2 linked regions of the Pelodiscus sinensis genome follow. The protein of the gene in region 2 interacts with the protein of the main gene of each other region in a biochemical or structural test. Links are inferred from orthologs where the notes say so. Each region holds a gene or a part of one and is shown on either strand. Other genes may lie near its edges.

Evidence for each region. The genes of interacting proteins can lie anywhere in the genome.
Region 1: of the proteins of MAPK1 (region 2) and MAP3K1, one has a biochemical effect on the other in vitro, tested with the Homo sapiens proteins (3 studies listed by BioGRID). The link is inferred for Pelodiscus sinensis from reciprocal best matches to the Homo sapiens genes MAPK1 and MAP3K1.

The regions. Positions count from the first base shown.
Region 1 is NC_134716.1:95,999,300-96,006,658, forward strand, and holds the start of MAP3K1 (mitogen-activated protein kinase kinase kinase 1), read right to left. Parts: upstream 3,108-7,359; 5' UTR 2,680-3,107; coding exon 2,246-2,679; intron 2,057-2,245; exon of another isoform or gene 2,042-2,056; coding exon of another isoform or gene 2,034-2,041; intron 1,913-2,033; exon of another isoform or gene 1,574-1,912; coding exon of another isoform or gene 1,440-1,573; intron 1-1,439. UniProt on the Homo sapiens protein: Component of a protein kinase signal transduction cascade. Activates the ERK and JNK kinase pathways by phosphorylation of MAP2K1 and MAP2K4. May phosphorylate the MAPK8/JNK1 kinase.
Region 2 is NC_134725.1:17,137,108-17,144,965, reverse strand, and holds the start of MAPK1 (mitogen-activated protein kinase 1), read right to left. Parts: upstream 3,008-7,858; 5' UTR 2,771-3,007; coding exon 2,628-2,770; intron 1-2,627. UniProt on the Homo sapiens protein: Serine/threonine kinase which acts as an essential component of the MAP kinase signal transduction pathway. MAPK1/ERK2 and MAPK3/ERK1 are the 2 MAPKs which play an important role in the MAPK/ERK cascade.

The DNA of each region.
Region 1 (7,359 bases), on a different chromosome or scaffold from region 2:
TTAACAATGTGCAAATTTGGGTGCTTTAAATACAAACAAAAAAACGGTTTAAAAGAGTTTGAAACAGAAAACAGGAACTAACTTAAGGAATTTTTTTTAAATCCATGGAATTGGCAAGCAAGAATGGAGTCAATATTTTAGCTGTGATTGCCTGATGTGACAAATGTTGACCTTCCTGAACCCATAACAACTAGCAATAAGTCCCACTGAAAACTGTAAGCAACTTTTACTGTTTTAAAGGCATGTTTTGATGTTGTTTATGCTAGTTATTTTTCTCTTATGTGGTACAGAATTATTTAATTGCTACAATGGTAACACCTATATATGAGGTAACAATGAAGTAAAGTATATTTTAGTTTCATACCTTGTCAAAACTCTAGAGATAATCATACAAAATCAAATAAAAACAAGTCAACTGCCAACTTTTGTACATCATCTTTTCCTTGAAGTAACTTCATGAACATAGATTTCCTATTAATCTTTCTATAACTACACTGGTGCTTCATCTGCTGGTATCATACTACTGTCAAGTAACTGGTTTATATTTACAGCAATGTGAAAGTCCACAAATATTGCACAGAATACATCTAGATACCCAAACAATTGCTGATTTTAGATTGCCATATTAGTAAAGCATTCTCTAGAATGGAAATCTTTTTTTGAATGTCCTTCTACCACAAATGGGAAAGACAGATTTCTTTGTTGTGAGTTGAGTAGCCAACTAAAAGCTCTTTTTCTCTGTAAAATAACTTTAGAAGTAAACCTATCAACACTCAGTCTTCACCGCCAAGCGCTGCAATTCACTATTTACACATGAAGTCTCATATAAAAATCCTTATGAAACTACAGTAATTGTTAAATCTATATAAAGATTACAAGCTCTATCTCCACCATTACTCTCACCTATGCACATACTAAATGCTAGCAAGTGTACGTTAAAAGTATTAAGTACAACGTATTCAGAAGTACATGAGAAAGCATTTTAAAATATGCTCATGGTAGCTTCAATTCTGAATGCCTTTGCGTGTGTAAGATACATATTGAATGTATCCTAGTTATTGAACTTGTGCCCCGGATTGCATCACAATAACTATAAAATTGGAAAGCTCTATAAAATCTCAAGTATTATCAAATAAAATACAGAATAGGACTAACACTATAAAGATACCACGTCTCATCTTACACAATATGCAGTCTCCAGTATAATTACTGCAAACACATTATACTTTCTACACTTTTGCAGAGTAGATATTTCATGTTTGTAAACTGTCTTTTATTCAGCAAAACCAAAACAGTTCCACAACTTCAAGTGAAACAAGCCACAGAAGAAAGGATTCATTTTTATTAATGTTTAACTATACCGATGGGAAAGCAAAGGCAAATGTAAAATCTAAGTAGTTTAGAATAAGTACTATATAGATTATGAAAAGCAGACACACTTTTTTTGTGGGGAGGTGAGGTGAATCCGGGGGGAAGGATGCTTTAGCAGGAAAAAAAAAATCAAATGCACTCTGCTGCACTGCTTGGAAGAGTTAACGGGTTTAACTGCACTGAAACTGAATGGCTGACACATCCGGTCCTGGGTCCTCAACCACCAGGGCAAATTCAAACTTCAAAGCCTCTCGGAGCTCAGGCAGAAATAAATCACTCCCCTCACCCCCCAACAGCTGCGATTCCCATTTAACTAAGAGTCACGACTTCCAGAAAGCAGCACACACAAACGGGTTGGCAGGGCAAAGGTAACACAAATGAGAAGTTGATGCACAGGCTACACAGTCCTGGGAAATACAATCCTAGCTCTTTTATCCTGCAGCGCCTGCCGCATAAGTCAACGAGGCACTGAACACAACAAGCTACTGGCCAGTCCCCTACTCCCCCCCCTTCTCTTACAGATGACAGCTCCCCACAAACACGGGGGGCCTGTCGGGGGCGATCTCACACCAGCCACCCCCTCTGCCCCATAACACCGTCCCCCACGCATATCCCAGCGCCCCTGCAAGCAAATCCGGGCCCGAAAAGCACGTCCCCGCTACCTGCCCATGGGCGCAGCGCCAGGCTCCCGGGGCTGGGTCTCCACCGAGAGGGGGACCCGAAAGCTCGAGGAGGGGCAGGGGCCAGGCTCCGGGCGCGCACTATCCCACGCCGCCAGCAGCGCCGGGCCCCCCACCTCCAACACCTGCGCGGGCTGCCCCGTGTGAGGCGCCGGGGTCCTCACCGCCGCCCGCTCCAGCCCCGCGCCGCTCACCCGGCAGGGGGAGACGGCTCCATCCTTCTCTCGGCGGCGGGGTCGGCTCCCACGGGGCTCCCGTCCGGCAGCGGCTCGTGGGGCGCGGCGCAGCGGCCGGGGGAAGACGCGGGGCTGGAGGGGCCGGAGCCCCCGGCGAGGCAGCGCGGCGGCGGTTCGGGGGACTCCGGCGAGCCGGCGAGGAAGAGGGGCGCCTCGGGCAGCCGGTCCAGCTCCACGCTCCGCACTTTGCGCAGCTGCTTCCGTCTCCAGTCTGAGCGCTGCTCCCGGCAGCCGCCGCCGCCCGCCTCCCGCAGGAGCCCCCCGCCGCTGCCGGGCAAGCTGCCCGCGCCGCTGCCGCTCTGCAGGCTCCCGGAGGCGGCGGCGGCGGCGTCCGCGCTGGTGCCCGAGGATAATCCCGACGACGAGGTGCGAGTCCCCGCCGCCGCCGCCATTTTCTCTGGCGGGTCACATCGGGCTCCGGAGCAGGGAGGCGGGGGATGAGCCGCGCTCCGGCCGCTGCGGCAGCGGCGTGGGCTGCGCCAAAGGCGTACGAGGGGTGGGAACTGAGCGCAGGCGGGACGGGCGTTGAGAAGGTGAGGCTGGGAGCGGTCGCTCGACGCCGCCCGCGGGCAGGTGGTGGCAGGACCTGGCCGTACCTACGCTGGGCGGGCTGGCTCCTGCCTGGGGAAAGGGGCTGGGCCGGAGGAGCCAGCACCTGGCGGGGGGGCTGGATGGTGCAGGACCCGGCAGGCGACCCCGCCTCCTTCACTCCTCGGAGATCAAGGGGCCGGTTCCTGCCCGCCGGACTGGGGGGCTTATCCCGAGACTCTGACCGGTGTGTCCTTGCCCGGCTCCCCCAGAGCGCGGAAAGCTCCGTGCAGTTGGGGAGCTTCTCTCTCCGCGGCGGTAGCGAGGCCAGTGAGAGCCTCACCTACCTTGCCTGGCGCAGATGCCGGGGGCGATGGGACTCCAGCTGAGAAGCAAACATTTTCACCCCCGCGCCTGCACTGTACTGAGAAGATCTCCCTCCACTCGGCAAAACGTATCCCATAGCCGGAGAAAAGGGGAGAGGGTTGTATTAAGAATGTGGGGAATACAAGCTCCTCGTTTGGAGGTAACTCCCCTCCACCAGAGTTGTACTCGCATTACAATAGATAGTTTCCCATTCAAGTACACGCACCTCCTCACCACACTTGGAGATTAGCCCTATCCATTCTGATTTAATTAGCACTCCCAGCTCTGTACCTTCTTCCCTCCCCTTGTGTTGTTATTTTTTCTTTTCAGCATCTGAGGAAGTGAGTTCAAGCTCATGACAGCTTATGTTCTAATACCCTAAAAACATGGTAGCATGGTAGTCTTTGAAGTGCCCCTAGACTCCTTGTTGTTTTAGAATCATAGAATGAAAATAGCAAGCAAATGTTTTGAGAGAACACATTACTGTGTAGTAGTATAGCAAGTGAATGGTAGTGCACCAGTCCTGGAGGTACTGTAATACCAGATTGATGCATAGGGCTGGGCAAATCCAGCTCCCTACTCCAAAAATAATTCAGTCATAGCGCACCAGGGTAGTGTGTCCAAAAGGACAGGTTGAGGATACTACACTTGATTTTAGCCAAACTAGAACTGGAAGGGACCTCAAGAGATCATCAAGTCCAGTCCCCTGCCCTTCTGGCAGGACCATGTACCATCTAGATCACCCCTGAGAGATGTCTGTCTCACCTGCTCTTAAAAATCTTCAGGGATGGGAGATTCCACAACTTCCCTATGCAATTTATTCCAGTATTTAACCACCCTAACAGGAAATTTTTCCTAATGTCCAACCTAAACCTCACTTGCTGCTGTTTAAGACCATTGCTTCTAGTTCTATCCTCAGAAGCAAAACAGAATGATTCCCCCTCTCCCATGACGCCCTTTTAGATACATGAAAATATCATGTCCCCTGTCCGGCTTCTCTTTTCCAAACTAAAGAAGCCCAATTCTTTCAACTTTCCGTCATAGCTCATGTTCTCTAGACTGTTAATCATTTTTGTTGCTCTTCTCTGGACCTCCAATTTCTCCACATCTTTCTTGAAATGTGGTGACCAGAACTGGACACAATACTCCAACTGAGGCCTAATCAATGCAGAGTAGAGCAGAAGAATGACTTCTCGTGTCTTGTTCACAACACTCCTGTTAATGCATCCTAGAATCATGTTTGCTTTTTTTGCAACAGTATCACATTGTGGACTCATATTTAGCTTGTGGTCCACTATGACCCCTAGATGCCTTTCTGCCGTACTCCTTCAGACAGTCACTTCCCATTCTGTATGTGTGAAACTGATTGTTCGTTCCTGAGTAGAGTACTTTGCATTTGTCCTTATTAAACTTCATCCTATTTACCTCCAACCATTTCTCCAATTTATCCAGATCATTTTGAATTATGACCCTATCCTCCAAAGCAACCCCTCTCAACTTGGTATCATCTGCAAACTTAATAAGCATACTCTCTATGCCACCATCTAAATTGTTGATGAAGATATTGAGCAGAACTGGTCTCAGAACAGATCCCTGTGGAACCCCACTTGTGCCCTTCCTGCATGACTTAAAATCATTAATAACTAAACTCTGACAATGGGGTTCCAGACAGTTATGCAACCACCTTATAGTAATCCCGCTACCAAGACCATACTTGATAGTTAAAACAGGGACAGAGAGAAGATTTAGACACATGGAACAGACAAAATAGTCACAGAACATACAAACTTAGAGAAGAATTTTAAACCATCAATTTAAACTTATTAAGCAACAAGAGATAGTTAAAAGCAAGTCGTTCTAATAGCTAAGCATATATAGGAAATCAATTAAAAGAAACTGAAAATGAAGTAAGTATTGAAGGTATTAGATTAGATGAATGAGTTTTTGTACTTTGAAAGGAAACACTGAAACTAATGGACTTCTCAAAATTAGAAATATATTCTGTACCAGGGGAACATCAATATTTGTCTACTTGTTTAGGTTTAAATTATTTTGCATTTAATGAGTATCATTAAGCATGAATGTACAAAGCATGAAATATATTGAAGAAATAAGATTGCCATTGCGTCATATCCTGCAGGTATTCATTCTGCAGAAAACCTGTTTGTGTTGAAGAAAAGCACTGCAATCAAGGAACTCTCAAACTATTGCGCTCCAATGAGTTAATTTAATTTAAAATCTGCGGTACTATAGACTAATATGAAGTTAATCGTTTTCTATGTGCACATTTCCCCTAAATTGTAAGTGGTAACATCCAAGACTGATTATGAAACTGAAGTCTTTGGCCTAGATCCTCAAGTTGTTGTCTTGCAACAATTGAAAGAGTGTGGCTGTTATACACAGATAAAGTTCTATATGGGAATATGGTAAATTTTGGCAAGCTGAAGGCTCATCTTTTTCTCAATACCTAAAATAATATGAATTCAGCATAGTTTTCAACACAGTTAATCTCAAACACAGTTACACATAGAAACAACATGCAGTTAAGAATCTTCTATGCTTCTGAATACATAAAGTAGGCAATACTGTCTGCACAAAGTAAAGATGAGAGAGAAAATGAATTATATAACATAACAGCTTTTGGTCATGCCTATACAAGCAAAGTGTAACACCTCATGATAACTGGATCCTCTGACATGGTAGGTTTGGTTGTGAAAATATGCTCATAGACAGCTCATTCACATTCAGTCTACAAGTGCTTAGATGGGCTATAGCTGAAGGGAAAGTGAACATGTTCCATAGCCATCTCTCTTTTGTGTTTGCACCGCCACATGATAGAAAACTCAGACAATTGAGTGGTAACTCACCTGGAGACTGATAGTGCCCTCTTGACTCTGCTTTACCATTGCTCTTCTAACACTTCTCCTTTCTTTTAAAAACTCCCCCTCCTCCCTTTCTTACTTAAAGCTCTTAGGCTATGTCTACACAGCAGCATTATTTTGGAATAACAGACTATGGTGACATATGCACATCCCATCATAGGAGTGAAGATATTCAGGGGTGTGGACACCTCCTGATTGCCCACAGGGTCATTAGCTGTCTCTGTAGTCCATAAATACCCCCTTGTGGTCTATGAAAGTTGAGCTTAGTGTCCAAGGTCAATAGTGCTGTCCTTCTCTCAGGGCAGTACAGTCTACCAGTCAGAGTCTGTCGTCAGCCTTCTCTCTGGAGTAGTGTGGCCTAGTGGCCAGAGTCAGTAAGTAGCCTTTGTCGCAGGGTAGTATGGTCCAATGGCCAGAGTCAGTAAATAGCCCTTGTCTCAGGGCAGCACAGAGTCAGTAAGTAGTACTTGCTACAGAGCAGTAGGACTTAATGGCCATAGTCAGTAGGGTTGAAGCAAGCATCCCGGTAGGGGGTCCCAGGCCTACACTGCTCCATGGGGTCCCAACCCAGGCTCCTGTGAGCAGCAGAATGGTCTACCACTCCCTCAGTGGGGAATCCAGCCGAAACACGCCAAGTATACCTGGTTGTGAAAGGCTGCTCCTTTATCCTTTCTGGGTCACTTCTTACTGATTCTGGCAGGTCAACCTCCCATGTAGCGGCTGAGTCTCCCAGTTCCCCGGTAGCAGTTTCTCCCTGGGATTCCGAGGGGGGTGCGTAGCAGCCATCTCCCGGGACTCTGGTTCTCGCTGGCTTCTGCAACTTGGGAGCTCTGACCGGAGGTTCTTCTCCTTTGCTGTCCAGCCCAGACTGAGATGCTCTCTTGCTTTTTATGCTGCCCCAGCACTTGGAGTATGCCCAGTCTGGTTGAAGGGGTGAGGCTTCTTCCGCCCACAGGGTTTTCACTCCCTCTGCTCCAGTGTGAGGCATGCACACCCCATGACACTGACATTATTCTGAAATAACAGAGTCCGTGTCTACGGAGCAAGCAGTTATTTCGACATAATGTCAAAATAACTTTGAGCTGGAGGACTTCTTATTCCGACTCCTGTAACCCTCATTTTATGAGGAGTAAGGGAAGTTGGAGGAAGAGTGCTCTGTCTTAGACTTCTTTCTGTGTAGACAGCACCAAAAGCCAAAATAAGCTATTTTGATTTAAGCTACGCAATTGACGTAGCTCACGTTGCATAGCTTATTTCAGCTTCAGTCCTGCTGTGTAGACGTGCCATCACTGGCTG
Region 2 (7,858 bases):
TCTAATGGAGTTAAGTTTAAGGATTCACTATATTAGGTTTTAATTCCTTAGTGATTGCTGTTCAATATAACCTTTGATGTGAAAGGACATGAAACTTACCTTAGACCAAAAACTCCTGTCATTAATTTATATAAAATATATTCATGTGTTTAGTTTAAGATAAGAGGCTAACACAGACTTTGAGAAAAAATTGAAAACGTAATGTTTTATCTCAAGCCACAAGAGATCAGGTGTGTGTGGGGGGGGGGGGGGGGAGATGATATGTTCTCATCCTGCCCACAAACCATGCTCCATTCACCTGTGAAGCCAAAATAGGATGTTATTGACAACAAACTATGTATCCTTCATAACATTTATTGCAGCCTTTGCTCAGTAGTGAATTCCATTTAAGCCTCTTTAATCCAGCAACCCTGGGAAATAGGGTAAAGTTTTCAAACCACAGAGGGTGCTGCAGTGGATTCTGGGAAGAAGGGAGCATGCATGAAGGGAATAGGGATGCAGGGTCTGGACATGAGGTTGATGGGAGTGGGGTATTTCTGGCACCCTGCTATGGGAGCATATGCGGCTCCATGCCCCAAAATACTAACTGGGGATGTTAAAGTGGGTTTACATAAACATGTAATTGTTGAAATTCAGGGCTTACACATAGGAGCAGAGCCATCTGACCCCACCCCTTGCTCCCATCTCACCCCCTTGCTGTTGCCTCAGATGGTGGGAGAACTGCGTGTAACCATGCACAACAGATTAGTCCAAGGTCATTGATAACCATGTACATGTTTGCATCCTTAATACCAATCTCTGCTGCCTCACCTCCAGACCAGCACTTTGCTATGTTGCTGTTTCCTTAGATGTGAGGGAGGGGAGAATGGCAGCACACAGAGCTGCTTCCTCCTCTCCCTGCTGGAGTCCAAACCAATATCATTGTTAGCATTCCACTGAGGTAAGTGGAGCAGATTATACTTCAGAGAAGTACGATTTGAGGCTCTCTAGCTTCAGAGAAATGCACAATTAGAATCTATCTACAGCAAGGGTATTTCTACTGTACAGTATACAGGTGCTAACCTCTCCATGTAGATGTGTTGAACAGGTATAAAACAAACTTGCACTGGTGAGGCTTATCTTGGTTTCTAAAGTAAACTGCACTAACAGGTCTTACATTCAAATCTGTACACTTAATACATGTTATATTCACTGCAGCTTCACTGGTGTAAACTATACAGACAAATATAAACAGGTCATCAAAACATACTGAAAGTTATCACAATAACTAAAAGGGCTAACATCATCATCAAGTAAAAGCATGTAAACACACATTTAGTTCCTTGGTGAATCCAGGCCTAAATGACAGTTTACATTCCGGAATACAAGCCTCTCATTCAGTCATCAAGAAGTCATCATAATACAACCTCTGAATGAAAGTTTATGCTGTAAAGAAACAAGTAACAAATCAAACCTATTTGAAAAAGCATACATAGTTTTTAAAAGCATACATTATAGAAAGACACTGTGCATTTTGAAGGGAAAACAGCAAAGGTTTTGGAGAAAAGTTATTTGTTTGCTCTCAAGAGTGCAGATGAATTTAGGAAATTAATTCTTTAATCCATTTCACAGAAAGACAGACAAATGGGATAAATAATTTAAGGAAAAACACGAGAGCATGTCAGTGACATTCGCGCATCCTTCTACCCACGTACAACATATACACCAGCTCAACTCAATCTCAGCATACTATTAGCTGGTAATAAACATCTTAACTTGCTCAAATACATATGTGCATTTCTCCATCATTCTGATAGCCTGATTCAAACAGTTATGTCAAAATAGTTGCACACACACATTCACTCTGCATAAATGGCGGTGTTTCACTGAAATGTCTCTGGGATACAACATAAATACAAATAATCTTGCAGCACCTTAGAGACTAACAAAAATGTACATGGTATCATGAGCTTTCATGGGCACAAGCTGATGCCCACGAAAGCTCATGATACCTCTAAATTTCTGTTAGTCTTTAAGGTGCTGCAAAACTGTTTTAAGTTTATTTAGTTACAGACTAACACAGCTACACCTCTGAAACTGATACACAAGCGTTTCAACCTTGAAAAGTATTTTCACCAATATATGAGGTTTCTTGTCCTTACTGGGGGGAAAGATGCCAAATCACAACCAAACAAGATAGATAATGGAGGTAATAAGAATAATAAAGTCTCTTTTTAGTTTTACCCAGTGTGGTCCTGGCACATAAGGTGAGCTTTGTACTCCGTCAGTCATGGCCATTATTTTGGCTTCCTTCTCCATTATAATATATATCATACTGCCAAGAATTAAAAAAAAAAAGACAAAACCAATCCAAGAGACAGTGTAAACGGACAAGAATAGTTAAGCAGAACTCGAGCCAGGACTGGAAGAGGAAGGGGCAGCCCCTGGAGCGAGGAGGCAGAGAAGAGGGCAGGAGATTTGGCAGCAAGCGGAGGTAAGACGCAGCTACAGGAGACTGGGAAAGGAAGAGACACTTTAGTCCCGGTCCCCTGCCCGCAGGAGAGCAAGGAGGCTGGGGCCGCGGGCTGTTGCCCAGCCCGGGAGAGGCTGTGGGCCAGGCAGGGCTCTGCCCCCCGGCCGGTACTCACCAGACCATGCCGTAGGCGCCCTCCCCGATGTAGGAGAGGTTGGTGTAGCGGGGCCCCACATCGAACGCCTGGCCCCGCACCATCTCCGGAGTCCCGGGGTTGGCCGAGCCGCCCGCAGCCCCGGCACCCGATACCGCCGCCATGTTCTCGGTGCTGGGAACCGCTAGGGAAGAGGGGAACGCGGTCGCCTCGGGTGCCCGCGCGGCGGCTGCGCTCCCAGGAACCCGCAGCCGTCCGGCCCAAGGCCCGCTCGCCGCCGCTGTGAGGAGGCTGAGGGGCGCGCGCCCGGAACGGAGGGTGGTCTCGCTCGCGCGCACACGGCAGGAGGAGGAGTGGTGAGGGAACCAGGCGTTATAAGCATGGGAGGGGCGGGGCAAGCGGGGACTGCGGTAACTTCAGAACCGCCGCAGAAAAGAGGGGGGCGGAGCCAAGAAGGGCACGTGGTCGGTGTGCCAGCTGCGCTGCTGCAGGGAGCCATTCAGCGTCAGGTGACGGATGCCCGCCTGCCAATGGGCTGAGGCCTGCGCTTGTCAGGGCCCTTGGGCTGCGTCGCCAGACGGGGGCGTCCCCGCGCCTTGGGGTTGTGTTCTGCTGAGGCAGCCCGGGATGCCGCCCCTGGCGTTGGGGCCGGCCGTTGGTCAATCCCTGACATGGCTCTCGTGTCAGTCAGGGGCTAGGCCCCGCCCCATAAGCTGAGTAGGAATCCACTGTACTCAGGTACTGCTCTGCCCCGCCCTTGGCCCATGGGGGGAGGGGGACTCGTGTGGTAACTGGCTTTCTTGGCGGGAGGAGGGGTTACTGCATGACTGCTGGGCGTCCTGCCCTTGTCTCAGGGAGCCGAGCTGCGTGAGTATTAATCCGCTAGTGGACATTAAACACGCTTGAGCCAGTGGTCAGTGCCCAGCAGTGCTCTCCGTAAGCCCTGCCTGTGTGGCTGCCCAGCAGAGTGCCTGTTGGTGGTGCACATTTGCACATGCCTGGGTGCGCATAAAATTGTATTTTGCACACGGATGGGAAAAATCTGCACCTGCATTGAACAGATTCGAGCAAACATTGGAGCCTAGGGAGTGGTATGTCTTGTGTGCCACATCCTTACATAATGCAGTGGGAACAGTAGCTCTCTACCCTTGAAATAGGATTCCATACTGCATACTCAGCTCATCTTTAACTTGAAAATAGGGTTCTGAAACTAGTGCTGCTTGTCTTGTTTTCTGGCCATCCTGCTAGTATTGCTCTCTTGATTGCTTGTAGGTGGGTGTTCTTTTTCTTAGCCTCTGGGTCTCCATCTACTTCACTTTTGAAATTGAAGATATCACAATATGTTCATAAATTCAGTGTCCTGATTCCCTTTCCACTGATGCTGGATATATGGGCCCAGCTAATGGTATCAACTAATGCCAGTCATCATTCAAACAATATCTGATCTTTGCTTTCTAGTGTTATTAAAGGCATATCAGCATGCGTTGCCATTTCTTTGGAGCACTTTTTAAAAAGGGGCTTTGTCATAATTGTGTCTAGGGGTTTGTGTCCTCATTGCACTATTAGGAGTACAGATGCAATTGTTCCACTCCAAATACCACAGCCAGAAGCTCTTTTTCTGTTTAAACATACCCCTGTATTGCCTCTGACAGCACTCTATTAGCATATGTGACTGATTGCTTCTGCAAAAGAGCTACACCCAGTCCTCTCTGATGCATCACATTGGAGTGTCAGTAGCTCACCACGGTGGTAGTACTTAAATCAAATGCTTGCTCTTGGGATCCCATGTAGTCCCACTCAATATCGTGCCTTGTGAGATGATTTATAGATTCTGCTAGTGCAGCCAGATGTGGACAAAACTTGGATGGACATTTATCATGCTTAAGAAGTGCTACACCTCTCTCACAACAACTGGAACTGTCATGTAGCTGCTTTAAGCATGTTGTGATCAGCTCTCAGTCCCCCTGCTGTGAGCTGATGTACAAAGTATGTCATCTCATGTTATTTAAATTACATTTTATTTTGGTTTAATTCTATCGTCTTGTCCCTGTATTGCTATAGAAAAGTTTATAGTTTTCTATAAGGATGTTAAGAAGTAGGTAATTGGCTAACTGTGTAGTCAATACAATTTGTGTCACCTACATGATTAGTTGATAATGGGAGGTATTCTCTCCTGTCTCTGGGTCCAGGAGCTGCCCCCTGCTGTGGCTCTGCAGTTTAAATGTGGTAGAAACTGCTGAGTCCCAGCTTGTGCTGGGTCCTGGACCTTCCCCACTACAGCTCTGCTTTTTAAATGTACAGGCAGTCCCCGAGTTACGCGGATCCGATCCGCAGTTACGAACGGGGTTTGCTGCCCGTTTCCCTGGTCTCCTGAGACGGGGAGCAAAGCCTCTGAGGACGCCGGCAGCGGGACAGCCACGGCACATCTGGGCTGTCTGCTGCCCGCGTGCTCCCCGGCTTTGCTCCCCATCTCCCTGGTCTGCTGGGGGGGGGGGGGTGCAGCTAGTATGCCTCCCCCCAGCAGAGCAGGCTTTTCTCCGTACGCCTGTGGTAGAGCAGCTGGGGTGCTGCCGGTTGGTCCCGCAGCGCCGCTCTGGGCGCTACTGGACCAACCCAGCAGCACCCCAGCTGCTCTGCCCCAGGCGTCCTGATTCAGCCGCTGCTGGTCAGTTTCAGCAGCAGCTGAATCAGGACGCCTGGGGCAGAGCAGCTGGGGTGCTGCTGGGTTGGTCCAGTAACGCCGAGGAGCGGCGCTACTGGAGCAACCCAGCAGCACCCCAGCTGCTCTGCCCCAGGCGTCCCCGAGTCAGCCGCTGCTGAAACTGACCAGCGCTGACTACAGGAAGCCCGAGGCCGAGTTGCTCTGCCCTGGGCTTCCTGGAATCAGCCGCTGATCAGTTTCAGCAGCAGCTGACTTGGGGACGCCTGGAGTTCTTAAGTTGAATCTGTATGTAAGTCGGAACTGGTGTCCAGATTCAGCCTGTTGAAACTGATCAGAGGCTGATTCCAGGAAGCCCGGGGCAGAGCAACTCTGCCTCGGGCTTCCTGTAGTCAGCTGCTGGTCAGTTTCAGCAGCGGCTGAATCTGGACACCAGTTCCGACTTACATACAGATTCAACTTAAGAACAAACCTACAGTCCCTATCTTGTACGTAACCCGGGGACTGCCTGTAGTAAGAGCCTGGAGGTCAGGGACTTGGCACGAGCTGAGTCTGCTGAGTCCCAGCTTGTGACAGGTCCCAGACCTACTGCAGCCTGCCACCAGGGCTGCTGAGTCCCTGACTGCTGCAGGGGTCCATGATTGCTGTGCCTCTGCCTTATAAATGTGGTAAGAGCTAGGCAGCTCTTACTATGTTTAAAAGGCATAGCCACAGCAGTGTAGGTTTAGGACCCACACAAGCCAGGACTCAGCAGTCCTAGTTCACGCTGGTCCCTGACCACTATGCCTCTGCTTCCCCTGCCCCTCCCCCTCCCCCTGTACTGTGGAGATGGTGCTGGGAAGAACCAGCTTTTAAGCTGGCTGTATCCAGCATCAGCTCCTGCTTCTCCCCTCCTTGCTGCTTCTGATAAAGAGGCAGCAAGGAAAAGGAGCGAGTAGTTGGACTCAACTACCTGATAAGCCCACTGGATGTAGAAGCTACCCGTGCTGAGGCTCTGAATCTTAAATGTAGTAAGAGCCCGCCTGGCTCTTACTACATTTAAAATGCAGAGCCACAGTGAGGGTAGGTTCTGGACCCAGCGCAAGCCAGCACTGAGTCCGGGACTGCTGCAGCTGGCCTGGCTCTTGCTACATTTAAAATGAAGGTAGGTGCCGGACCCAGTTCAAGCCAGGACTGAGCTGGGCTTGCTCAGTCCTGGATCATGCCATGTCCAGCATCCCTGTCCATGGGGGTACTGGCAGGGAACTGGGACCCACAAAAACAGGGGCTGCCACCAGATAGAGGAAGAAGCATGGGAAGGGGGGCAGAGACGGTGCTGGGAGGATCCGGCTTTTAACTGGCCTGATACAGAGGCAGCAAGGCGAAGGGAAGGTGAATAGTTGAGTAGTTGACTACTCACTTACATTCCTAATGGGCATAAGGCAGTGGTAGAGGGGTCTGGTCCAGCCCTACTGTTTCACTCTGCTTTAGGGAGCAATAACTCTCCAGAGCTCCTCAGACTGCTGTGATATTTGAGGCAGTGGTGTGCTTCAGAGTGGTGCATACATACCTGTCTGCATTATTTCCTAGTAAAAGGCATGATAATAGTTTTAGTTGCCTGCTGTTGTCATTCTCCTGCATGGTTATCTCTGCCCACAACTGTCTTATCACTGGGCTACCTGTGAATCTGCAAAATCTAGGTTTCTGGGGAATTTCAGATTGAGTTCCATGGTTTATGCTGCCAACTGCAGCTCTTCAGAGACCTCACAGCAGCTCCAGTGCTGCCACTGTGTTTCATTTGCAAAGAGTGAAGCTGTATTCAGCATAAGCTGAACACATGGAATTTTATTAAACCTTGTGTGCTGTTCTATTCCTGAATCTGAGTTGCTTCCAGCTCAACCCTATTGATTTACCATGTTCCCTGGTGTCCTATTATTAAGAGCCCCTCTAAGGAGCATGACCTGTATGACTTGGTTCCACTAATCATGATACATTTCCTCTATTTTATTTTATCCTTTAATACATACACTAAAACAAATCATTTATGCCCAAACCCACTCTCCACCCCCATGTCCCTTCAGCCAGAGCTTGCCAGCATGTGGATGAGTCCGAGTCTCCACTTTACCACAGGTTCAGCTGGTTACATAATCTTTGAGACAGTGCTTCTGAAATGCTTTGCCTTGTCTCTCCCCCCTCAGAGGATTTCCTGCTTCTGCCACTGCACTTATTTAATAATTCTCAATGTCTCTCCCACCACTGCCTAAATCATCTTGCCAGTCCTACCAGCAATTGAATATACCAAGTCCAGCCCTTCTCCTGTCACCAACTGCCAAAACCAACTTTCATTCTGACCAGCCAGTATCAGCTCTCCCAAACCAACTATTAGTCTCAGCGAATATACCCTCTCTCAAATGCTATGGATCCTTGGGATTCCATCATACCATGCCTCATCTTAAAGTAAAACATTCAGTTCTCTATTTGAATAGTGGCCAACATCTGGAAAATAATATCTCTTTTGCAATTGTACAGTACATACTCTGCTAGCCTAGCAGCAATCTAGTGGATCACCTTCCATGCCAGAGCTCACAGCAGGTGTCCATGGTTTCAGATGCAA